Linked DNA regions of Callithrix jacchus. The protein of the gene in region 1 purifies or fractionates together with the protein of each later gene. This does not show direct contact. Links are inferred from orthologs where the notes say so. Each region holds a gene or a part of one and is shown in the gene's direction. Other genes may lie near its edges. The genes, in order: MORF4L1, H2BC21 and RBBP7.

The links.
Region 2: the proteins of MORF4L1 (region 1) and H2BC21 purify together in Homo sapiens (affinity purification with mass spectrometry, with the first as the bait; 3 studies listed by BioGRID). This does not show direct contact. The link is inferred for Callithrix jacchus from reciprocal best matches to the Homo sapiens genes MORF4L1 and H2BC21.
Region 3: the proteins of MORF4L1 (region 1) and RBBP7 purify together in Homo sapiens (affinity purification with mass spectrometry; 5 studies listed by BioGRID and IntAct, counting the BioPlex papers as one, with this or other methods). This does not show direct contact. The link is inferred for Callithrix jacchus from reciprocal best matches to the Homo sapiens genes MORF4L1 and RBBP7.

What each region holds. Positions count from the first base shown.
Region 1 is NC_133507.1:29,178,140-29,181,789, reverse strand, and holds part of MORF4L1 (mortality factor 4-like protein 1), read left to right. Parts: intron 1-1,054; coding exon 1,055-1,156; intron 1,157-2,177; coding exon 2,178-2,266; intron 2,267-2,670; coding exon 2,671-2,843; intron 2,844-3,400; coding exon 3,401-3,485; intron 3,486-3,650. UniProt on the Homo sapiens protein: Component of the NuA4 histone acetyltransferase (HAT) complex which is involved in transcriptional activation of select genes principally by acetylation of nucleosomal histones H4 and H2A.
Region 2 is NC_133519.1:9,820,620-9,824,369, reverse strand, and holds H2BC21 (histone H2B type 2-E), read left to right. Parts: upstream 1-1,329; 5' UTR 1,330-1,371; coding exon 1,372-1,752; 3' UTR 1,753-3,560; downstream 3,561-3,750. Other genes in the region: H2AC21 (histone H2A type 2-B), read left to right, coding at 99-491; H2AC20 (histone H2A type 2-C), read right to left, coding at 648-1,037. UniProt on the Homo sapiens protein: Core component of nucleosome. Nucleosomes wrap and compact DNA into chromatin, limiting DNA accessibility to the cellular machineries which require DNA as a template.
Region 3 is NC_133524.1:17,112,172-17,115,821, reverse strand, and holds part of RBBP7 (histone-binding protein RBBP7), read left to right. Parts: intron 1-1,277; coding exon 1,278-1,438; intron 1,439-2,284; coding exon 2,285-2,411; intron 2,412-2,529; coding exon 2,530-2,607; intron 2,608-3,035; coding exon 3,036-3,112; intron 3,113-3,650. UniProt on the Homo sapiens protein: Core histone-binding subunit that may target chromatin remodeling factors, histone acetyltransferases and histone deacetylases to their histone substrates in a manner that is regulated by nucleosomal DNA.

The sequences.
Region 1 (3,650 bases):
AGAGGCAGGGTTTCACCACGTTGGCCAGGGTAGTGTTTATCTCTTGACCACGTGATCTGCCCATCCCAGCCTCCCAAAGTGCTGGAATTACAGGCATAAGCCACTGCAGCCAGCCTAGAATTTTTTTTTTTTTAGACAGTTTCGCTCTTGTTACCCAGGCTGGAGTGCAATGGCGTGATCTTGGCTCACTGCAGCCTCCACCTCCTGGGTTCAGGCAATTCTGCCTCGGCCTCCTGAGTAGCTGGGTTTACAGGCACGCGGCACCATGCCCAGCTAATTTTTTTGTATTTTTAGTAGAGACGGGATTTCACCATGTTGACCAAGATGGTCTCGATCTCTTGACCTCGTGATCCACCTGCCTTGGCCTCCCAAAGTGCTGGGATTACAGGCGTGAACCACTGCGCCCGGCCTGGCCTAGAATTTTAATTTCTAACTGGCATAGTTTATATCTGAAGCTAAAAGTAGTAGAATCTGAAAATAGGCATTTTGGGGCAGTTTTTGAAAACTATTAGAAATCAGTATGTTTACTTTTATGAGTTCAAGATGGGTCTTTAAGATGGTTGTGTTAGGAACAGTTGTTTTGATGTCAGTGGTAAATATGAAAATACTAAGTTAAAACGTATCAAGTCTCAGGGTATTTCATTTCCTGAACAACAGGAACTTAAGAATTTTTACCTTAAGTGATAGTGTACTATCACTTATTTCATTTCCTGAACAACAGGAACTTAAGAATTTTTACCTTAAGTGATAGTGTACTAAATAGACTATGGTTCAAGGTCAGATTCTTTTCTCCCAGCAGCAAAGCTGTGTATGGTCTTTTTCATTTACAGTTTTTAAAAATGACAGTTCAGCTGTATGCTTAGCTACTTTGAGAATTTATACCTAGTGCCTTTAAAAGTCAACTCCCTTCCATGTTTGGTATTTAGCAAGAAAGGATAGGGGTTTTGTTTTCTTTTGTTTTATTTTTTGAGATGGTGTCTTACTCTATTGCCCAGACTGGTGTGCAGTGGCGTGATAAAGGTAGGTTTTTAAATACTCTTCTATTTCTGTATAGGAGGAAACATTCATGAACAGAGTTGAAGTTAAAGTAAAGATTCCTGAAGAACTAAAACCATGGCTTGTTGATGACTGGGACTTAATTACCAGGCAAAAGCAGGTAAATTGCTAGCTAATGTGATACATTGTTGCTAGCAAAAAAAAAAAAAAAAAAAGCTTTTATGACTTTGTGATGATAAAGGTGTCAATAACACTTTGGCGATTGCTAGGGCAGGAAGTAATTCTGAAAATAGGTAAAGGCAAAGCAGCATGTGTTTACTGTCTTCATCCCTGCTAATGGTAGGCCATAGAAAGCACCTGTCACCACCTGCAAGATATTCATGACCCTGAAAAGAACCTGAATCTAAGCTCCTGGGTCTGTTACTAGTTTGCAGGAAATAGGATGTTTAATGGAGCGACATGTTTATCCATCATTGAACTCTATAATTGAGAATTTTGTGGGACAAATGAAGCTCTTTAAACAAATGGCATAGGTAGTGTTAGGGATGGTGGGGGGCAGATGATTAGGGACTGCTTGAGGATTATGAGACTTAAAACATATCAGTCATATACAACATACGGACATAGTTTGAATTCTGATTTGAATCCGTTGGAGGATTATGCAGTTACAGCTAAACTGCGAAGATTCAAGCCGTGGCTGTATCACTTACTGTTTGTGAGCTTGGACAAGTTTCTTAGCTTTTTTTGTGCTTTTGTTTCTGCATTTAATGGAATAATAATTCCTATTTGACAATGTCGATGAGAGGATAAAACGATAACTATTTTAATGCTTTAGACTAGGTCTAGCAAATAATATGTATAACAGTAAATGAGTTGGTAATACCACAGAGGCACATTTGTGTCTGTTTTGTGTGTCTAACAGTTTGATATTTTTAAAAGCTGTGCTGTTCTGTCCAGTACAGCCTCACTGGCCACATTTGGCTGTTTAAATAAATAGATGCTCCATAACTTAGAATGGGATTACATCCCAATAGGCCCAGCAGAGAGTTGGAAAATTAAGTCAAACCATTGTAAGTTGGAAACTGTTTGTAATTAAATTTTTATTGTATAAAAATTTTCCCGGTGTAATTTTTTTTAAAAAAAAAGAGTGCTTATATTCAAGCATGTTTTTGTTTTGATAGCTCTTTTATCTTCCTGCCAAGAAGAATGTGGATTCCATTCTTGAGGATTATGCAAATTACAAGAAATCTCGTGGAAACACAGATAATAAGTAAGAATATACACCTTTCAAATACACTCAAAAGACATTCTAAAAAAAATGTGTTTCTAAATAAATCATCTGAAACTTGTACTGACTCTGAAACATATCACCAAAAAGTAGCAAAATAGAATTTCACTGCTTTGACATAGGAGTTGGCTGATCGACTTTTTCTTAAAGGGCCAGATAGTAAATATTTTAGGCACAGTTTAAACTATCATGTAAATATTTGCATAACCATATGAAAATGTAAGTTTGTCAAACGCTGCTTTCATGTGCCTTTTTAAAAAAAAATCTCAGCTGTGGGTTCATTTTTACTAGCTCAACTCTTAATTCTTTAAATTGGTTGATTAAATTATTCTCTATCTCAGTTCTTTTCATTGACCAGTTTTGGAATATTTCTGTTCATTTATCAGGGAGTATGCGGTTAATGAAGTTGTGGCAGGGATAAAAGAATACTTCAATGTAATGTTGGGTACCCAGCTACTCTACAAATTTGAGAGACCACAGTATGCTGAAATTCTTGCAGATCACCCTGATGCACCCATGTCCCAGGTGTATGGAGCGCCACATCTACTGAGACTATTTGGTAATAATGCCATGTTGAAAATAATTTTGCTTTTGGGGGGAGGGTCTTCCCTAAATGAATATGAGATAATTAACTTTCCAAAACATGACTCCATTTTAATTTGAACTTTGATCTAGAATGTTAAATAGCAAAAGAATCTTTAAGAGCAAGAGTTTTAAAAATCATGTATTTCTATTTTATTATTATTTTTGAGACGGAGTCTCACTCTGTCGCCCAGGCTGGAGTGCAGTAACTTCCGCCTGCCGTTTCAAGTGATTCTCCTGCTTCAGCCTCCCAGATAGCTGGGATTACAGTGCCCACTACCACACTCAGCTGATTTTTGTATTTTTAGTAGAAATGGGGTTTCGCCATGTTGGCCAGAGTGGTCTGGCACTCCTGAGCTCAAGTGATCGCCTACCTTGGCCTCCCAAAATGCTGGGATTACAGGCATGAGCCACTGTGTTCGGCCTAAAATAATGTATTTTAAAGGAATTTGCATTTGCTCACATAATTAAAATACATGGTTAAAGTGCTGCTGCCTTGGATGTAACTTTCGATAATTCCTCTTGTTTAAACAGTACGAATTGGAGCAATGTTGGCCTATACACCTCTGGATGAGAAGAGCCTTGCTTTATTACTGAATTATCTTCACGATTTCCTAAAGTAAGTCTATGCTTGGTAGTATAAAAATGAATTTGCAAATTAGTGTGTAATGGGGGGGATTCGCAGTATAGATGCTAAAATATTAAATATTGTATTGGTACAGGCTTAGACGGTTAATGGAGAAATATACGTAAGTACAAATATACGGTGGGAGTCTCAGTGCAA
Region 2 (3,750 bases), on another chromosome or scaffold:
TCACCCCTCCCGGTGGCTCTTATAAATTACATCAAATTGGTTATCCCTTCCACATTCTTCTCCTTGAAAAAGAAGCTGTGACTGCAATTTTAGCCGTAATGTCGGGACGCGGAAAGCAGGGGGGCAAGGCCCGCGCCAAGGCCAAGTCGCGCTCGTCCCGCGCTGGCCTCCAGTTCCCGGTGGGGCGAGTGCACCGCTTGCTGCGCAAAGGCAACTACGCGGAGCGGGTGGGGGCCGGCGCCCCAGTGTACCTGGCAGCGGTCCTCGAGTACCTGACCGCGGAAATTCTGGAGCTGGCGGGCAACGCGGCTCGGGACAACAAGAAGACGCGCATCATCCCTCGCCATCTGCAGCTAGCTGTGAGGAATGACGAAGAGCTCAACAAGTTACTGGGGGGTGTCACCATTGCCCAGGGCGGCGTCTTGCCCAATATCCAGGCTGTCCTGTTGCCCAAGAAAACGGAGAGTCACAAGCCTGGCAAGAGCAAGTAATAAATAGGCTTGACACCATACCCATTCACCCCAAAGGCTCTTTTAAGAGCCACCAAAGTGTCAAATGAAGGGCTGGTAACGAAACAGCGCATTAGCTCTTTTTTTGAAAACTTGGGTGGCTCTAAAAAGAGCCTTTGGTCTTTGGTTTGTCTGCATTTATTTGCTTTTGGCTTTGTGGCTTTCGGTTTTCTTTGGTAACAGAACGGCCTGGATGTTGGGCAACACGCCGCCCTGGGCGATGGTGACTTTGCCCAGCAGCTTGTTCAGCTCCTCGTCGTTGCGGATGGCCAGCTGGAGGTGACGGGGGATGATGCGCGTCTTCTTGTTGTCCCGAGCCGCGTTACCCGCCAGCTCCAGGATCTCGGCGGTCAGGTACTCCAGGACCGCCGCCATGTAGACGGGCGCGCCGGCCCCCACCCGCTCCGCGTAGTTGCCTTTGCGCAGCAGGCGGTGCACTCGCCCTACCGGGAACTGCAGGCCAGCGCGGGACGAGCGCGACTTGGCCTTGGCGCGGGCCTTGCCTCCTTGCTTGCCACGGCCAGACATGATTAAAACCAAGGCTAAACGCAGACAAAGCTCAGAACCACGCAACAAAATAAGATTGAAAGATCACCAAGAAGAAAGCCTTTATAAGCTTTCTTAGGGGTGGGGTCAAGGACGAGTTTTTCATTGGTCCTAATTTGGCTTCAGAGCCGGCCAATCAAGTCAAGAGTCGGTATCGCTACGTAGACGTTGCTGAAAACGCAAGGTCCACACACGGACCAATGGAAGTGAATTAGTTTCGGAGCCTTAATTTGCATAAGATGGTTATAAAAGGATCAGGTCCGCCCATTCTCTTACTTCTTTTCTTGGCTAAGTCGCGTTGGTACTGTGTCTTACCATGCCTGAACCGGCAAAATCCGCTCCTGCTCCTAAGAAGGGCTCTAAGAAAGCCGTCACTAAAGCCCAGAAGAAGGACGGCAAGAAGCGCAAGCGCAGCCGCAAGGAGAGCTACTCCATCTACGTGTACAAGGTGCTGAAACAGGTCCACCCCGACACCGGCATCTCGTCCAAGGCCATGGGTATCATGAACTCCTTCGTCAACGACATCTTCGAGCGCATTGCGGGGGAGGCGTCCCGCCTGGCTCACTACAACAAGCGCTCCACCATCACGTCCCGCGAGATCCAGACGGCCGTGCGCCTGCTGCTGCCCGGCGAGCTGGCCAAGCACGCCGTGTCCGAGGGCACCAAGGCGGTCACCAAGTACACCAGCTCCAAGTGAGTCCCTGCCGGGACCTGGCGCTCGCTCGCTCGCTCGAGTCGCCGGCTGCTTGAGTCCAAAGGCTCTTTTCAGAGCCACCCACCTAATCACTAGAAAAGAGCTTGTTCACTTACTCCCTTAGTTTTTTCTCACAAAGTAAGTTGTTTTAGCATAAGTCATGGGAAATAGCACACGTAGCTTAATCATTTGGAACTCGAGGTCCCCAGTGCATGATTGGATTTGCTTTTGAATCTAGAGCGTGTCGTTATTCATTGTGCTGCTTAGCTTTCCCAGGAGTCCGTTCTCATTTAGGGTGTTGGGAATCCGACTCTGCCCGCCCCCACCCCCGCCTTACACTGGCGCCCTGGTGGCTTCGTTGGGTCTGTTTCATCATTTCAAAACCAAGTGGCTGAGTCCGGCTGTTACTTAAGAGAACTCTGGGACACAATTCAGTCCGGGTGCCGCAAACTGCGTGACAGCGCTGTATGACTGACGCTTCGCAGCAGCTTTTGTGTCCGGTCACCAGTTTTGCCCTGGGATGGGGCCTCCTGTGGATGCCAGCCGTTCTGTGTACTTTGGACGAAGCCCGCGCAGCCGGGTCCCAGCCTTTTCCTGATTGGGCGACATGACTATTCGAAATTCTGCGCCGCTTTCTAATTTGTAGATTTCAGTTTCCGTGGTTCACTTTGAGATTCCTACTTCTCGGTTTGTGGATAATTTTTGCTTTTAATGGTGTCTGCTTTAAAATGGTAACGCTACGGCCCCGGGTCACTGCAAGACACCATGTAGATATGAGCTCAAAAGTCACCTCTCAGAGACCTTCTACGTCATCCACTCAGGAATTCGCGCCTCTCATAGTTCCCGGTCTCGTTTTATCTTCCTCGTAGCAGCTGTCTGAAATTGGCTCGTCTGTTTTCTTCATGGCATTCTCAAGCCCTTGACAGACCGGATGGTCTGGTTTTCCCGTGCCTCTTCAGCCAGTCAGTCTGGCACATTATGGACACTTACTTCAATACTACGGATTGAAGTAATATTGTTGGGTTAATTTTTCCATCCCACTTGTTTTTTAATCGCTTCTGTGGATGGATGATGGGTGCTGTTCATTTCCATTAGATGTACGTGAAGGCGCGGTGAAAATGGAAATGTTTTTGAAGTTATTCCCTCAAATGTATCCTTAGTCACTTCAGTGCAACAGCTGGGAGGGGGCCGTGTTAAGATTCTTTTGCATCAAAGAGGAGGTGGCAATGGTAGTTCCACCTTTGTGCTTCCCGGTTTAGCCTAACCTCCTTTGGATTTTCATCAAATTCAGCGTATTGGTCATGGGAAAGAGCCTTTTTCCTTCTTTTCTACTCCTGTCTTGGTGTTCCCTTCTTAAAGGAGAGGAGCTTTTAATTTGCACTCACCACCTGGTTTGGTTTTCAGGCGGCCATTCAAGATGGGCAGGACTACAAAGTTAATCTCTCTCTCTTTTTTTTTTTAAACAAATGAGGCCAAGAGAAGCCTGATTGGTCCATGGTCATGCAGTTCATACTGCCCACCTTTGTATTCTCAGATGCAGGACAATTGCATTTTAGTTTTATTTTGTGGAAGTGCAGAATATTTACTCTTTCTGTCAAACCCTTGATTCTGCCGAGGAACACACTGATGGTTTGATGAGTGATTCAACTCTACTTTTAGCTAAGGGCTTTGGGAGTTGATTGCAGGGGTTTGATGAATCCAAATGAGCTCTAGATATTATCACAGACTGAATAAATCTTAATTGTCTCCTACATGTGTGTTTTCAAATGTGTGTAGATGTTATTATTAATAAAGTTGCCAGTTAATTTAAAGTCTTTGCTGAATTATTTTATCTACAGTATATTTTCTCAATGAATGAGATTAACAGATACAACTTCCACTGGTTCTGTAGAAAAGCTTGGGAGCCTCTGAGCTGGGGGATGACTTGTTTATAAGCCACCAGCCAAACTGCTGCCCCAAAGGTGCATTGGGGCTTAAATAGTCTGTTAGAAGGTCACTGTT
Region 3 (3,650 bases), on another chromosome or scaffold:
AAAAGATCCTCCTGCCTTGGCCTCCCAAAGTGCTGAGATTGACAGGCATGAGTCAGCACACATGGCTCATTGTGGTTTTAATTTGCATTTCCCTAATGACTAATGATGATGAGCATATATTCTTTTATTTATTGGCCATTTGCATATCTCCTTTGATGAAATATGTATTCAAATTCTTTGTCCATATTTTGTCTTTTTATTGTTGAGTTACAAGAGTTTCTTATGTATTCTAGGTATAAGTCCCTATGGTTTTCAGAAATTTTCTCCCATCCTGTGAGTTGTCTACCTTTTTTTTTTTTGAGGCAGGATCTTACTCTGTCACCCAGGCTGAAGTGTAGTGGCACATTCTTGCCTCATTGCAACCTCCGCCTCTCGGGCTCAAGTGGTTCTCTACTTCAGCCTCTCAAGTAGCTGAGACTACAGGTGTACAGTGAATTTTTGTGTTTTTTTTTTGTAGAGATGGAGTTTTGCCATATTGCCCAGACTGGTCTTGAACTCCTGGGCTCAAGTGATCCACCTGCTTTGGACTCCCAAAGAGCCAGGATTACAGGCTTTCTAAAAGGATGCTTCCCTCAATGTGTATATGAGATGGTTTCCCAAGTAAGGAAAGTGGACTGTACCCAGTAACCCAATTACTAGTACCTTTTGAAGATACCAGGCTGGGAATTGGTCGTAATAATAGCTGAAATTTACCAGGGGCTCCCCACATGCCAAGCATCATGATAATCTTGCCAGATCCTTCTGAGCCTGTGTGAATGGCAGGATCTCCACATGTTCCTTTCTCTTCAGTCCACGTACATTGAGTGTCTTCATGTGTAAGTAACTGTTACAGAGATGAAGGGCATATATATTATGTAAAAAAAAAAAAAAAAGGTTTTTTTACTGGGAAATAGCTCTGTTACAGAAACTCCTTCATGTGGCTGGATGCAGTGGCTCATGCTTGTAATCCCAGCACTTTGGGTGGCCAAGGCAGGTGGATCACCTGAGGTCAGGAGTATGAGACCAGCCTGGCCAACATGGTGAGACCCCATCTCTACTAAAAATACAGAAAAAAATTGAGCCATGCTTGGTGGTGTGCATCTGTAAGTAATCCCAGCGACTCAGGAGGATGAGGCAGGAGAATCGCTTGAACCTGGGAGGCAGAGGCTGCAGTGAGCTGAGATCACACCACTGTGTTCCAGCCTAGGTGACAGACCGAGACGTCATCTTGAAAGAAAAATTCAGTTTCTTACGGCCCTTGTTCTTTTTTTTTCTCTCTCTCTCTCCTTCTCTCTTAGACTGTCTGTCTGTGGGATATAAACGCAGGACCGAAGGAAGGCAAAATTGTGGATGCTAAAGCGATCTTTACTGGCCACTCGGCTGTTGTGGAGGATGTGGCCTGGCACCTGCTGCACGAGTCACTGTTTGGATCTGTTGCTGATGATCAGAAACTGATGATGTAAGGTGGAAAGTTCAGTGGGATCTTGTTAAATGGGTGACCTGAATGACCATCAGCGATTGCAGCAGGCTGTAGTTTGATTTTTTTTTTTTTTTTTTTTTGCTTATGTTACGGCTTTAAAAAAAAACAGCTTTAGGTAGCTTACTGCTGTAATCCCAACACCTTGGGAGGCTGAGGCAGGAGGATTGCTTGAGGCCAGGAGGTATGAGACCCTGTCTCTACACAAAATTTAAAAAATTAGCTGGGTACAGTGGTGTGCACCTGTAACAGCCCTAGCTACTCAGGAGGCTGAAGTGAGAGGATCGCTTATTAGAAAAAAAATAAGTATAGGTATGTTTGTGTGAAGTGATATACTTGGTGTAGTGGTAAATATCAAAATTGGAATCCAGAGTGACACCAGTTGAGATCAGGGAGGAAAATTATTGCGTCAAGGTATGGCCACAGGGCTGCATTCAGCCACCTATAATCTTACCTCATAAATGTCTGAGGCAAATGTGACAAAATACTGGGCATTTGTCAAAGCTAGTTGTAGGTATGAGATTGTTACATTATTTTCTACATAGTCTCTATTTTCTGTCTGCTTGAAATAGTTGGTAATTGAAATGGGAATCTAATAAAAAACCAGGGCTAATAGCCCTAGCTTGTTCTCTGTAGGTTTTGAAAGTATCATTTAGTGGTCAAGGTCTGAAACACCAACTGTGTGGTTGGTTCTTCATGAAGGACGAGCATAGTGGAGCTAGTTGTGGAGTGCATTGACAGTGACGTGGGGCCGAGTGTGAGTGTGAGAAGCTGAGGAGGCTCATGCATCCTCCCTGGGTGCTGTGTGCCTTTACCTTTGTGTTTTAGATGGGACACCAGGTCCAATACCACCTCCAAGCCGAGCCACTTGGTGGATGCACACACTGCCGAAGTCAATTGCCTCTCATTCAATCCCTACAGCGAATTTATTCTAGCCACCGGCTCTGCGGATAAGGTTTTGAAGTTTTTGCATTATTTGGTGTTTATAAAACCCAGTTCTCTTACTTTAATTAGATATTTGAAAATTCTTAGGTAAAGCATAGAAATCATTTTCACTTGTTATTTTTCTTTAGACCGTAGCTTTATGGGATCTGCGTAACTTAAAATTAAAACTCCATACCTTCGAATCTCATAAAGACGAAATTTTCCAGGTATGTGACAGTTTTCTGGTGTCTGTATGTCAGGAAATGAAATCTAGGGATTCTTCAGTTAAGCTGTACCAGACTGATGGGCCCACTAATGAAAACAATGCCTTGTACATGGTTTTACATAGAGATGTTCATAGGTTAAAGTACACCCTACTGAAGAATTAAAAAGCTTCTGGGATGGTTATGGGGCCGAATAAATTTATTAAGACCCCAGGCTGAGTTCTTCAGTGCTGGGGAGTGCAGCCTTCCTGAGGACAAGATGGAGCTGAGCCATTTCAGAGCACTTGAAAGGCTGGGACAAGAGGGCGAGGCCAATAGGCCAAGGATAAGATCATGGACTGCAAGATGAGAAAATATTGGATTAGAACAATAGCCACAAACCTCGCAGCGAATGATCCTTTAAATACATTTTCAAAATTATCTATTACTAGGTCCACTGGTCTCCACATAATGAAACTATTCTGGCTTCAAGTGGTACTGACCGCCGCCTGAATGTGTGGGATTTAAGGTAACTCCCAGTCCATGACAACATACTACATAAATATGCTCATCTGTCAAGTTACATAGTAATTCATGAACTAGAAAAACAACTTGGTAATCCCTCTTTAAAGAAACCTAATATTAAAGAAACTTAAGTATCTTCCTAAAGAATCTGTTCTGTAAAATAGAAGCGAAGCAGCAAATGGACCATAAAATTTCTGTGATGTGAGTTTTGTCTCTTATTATTCAGACATGAAGGTGTATGTGTCTGTGTTTGGTTTTGCATTCAAATGACTGTATTTAAAACATACTTACTATATAGAGAGAGATCAAGATGTTAGCTGTTTTGTGTCTCATCGGATCTCATAGTACATGTAGGCAGGATTGTTCTTTCTGAGTTTTTGTACCATTTGCTTTTCTCTGCTTTCATTGATTGCTTCTGCAGATGTGCACTCCTGCTGTGGATTGTGTAACTGCTGGGGAGACCTTTGTCAAGGAGACAAGGACAGCCCAAGCTGTCAGCTTATGTTCTCTGGGGCTTATTGTATAAAGAGTTTCTTCCAATT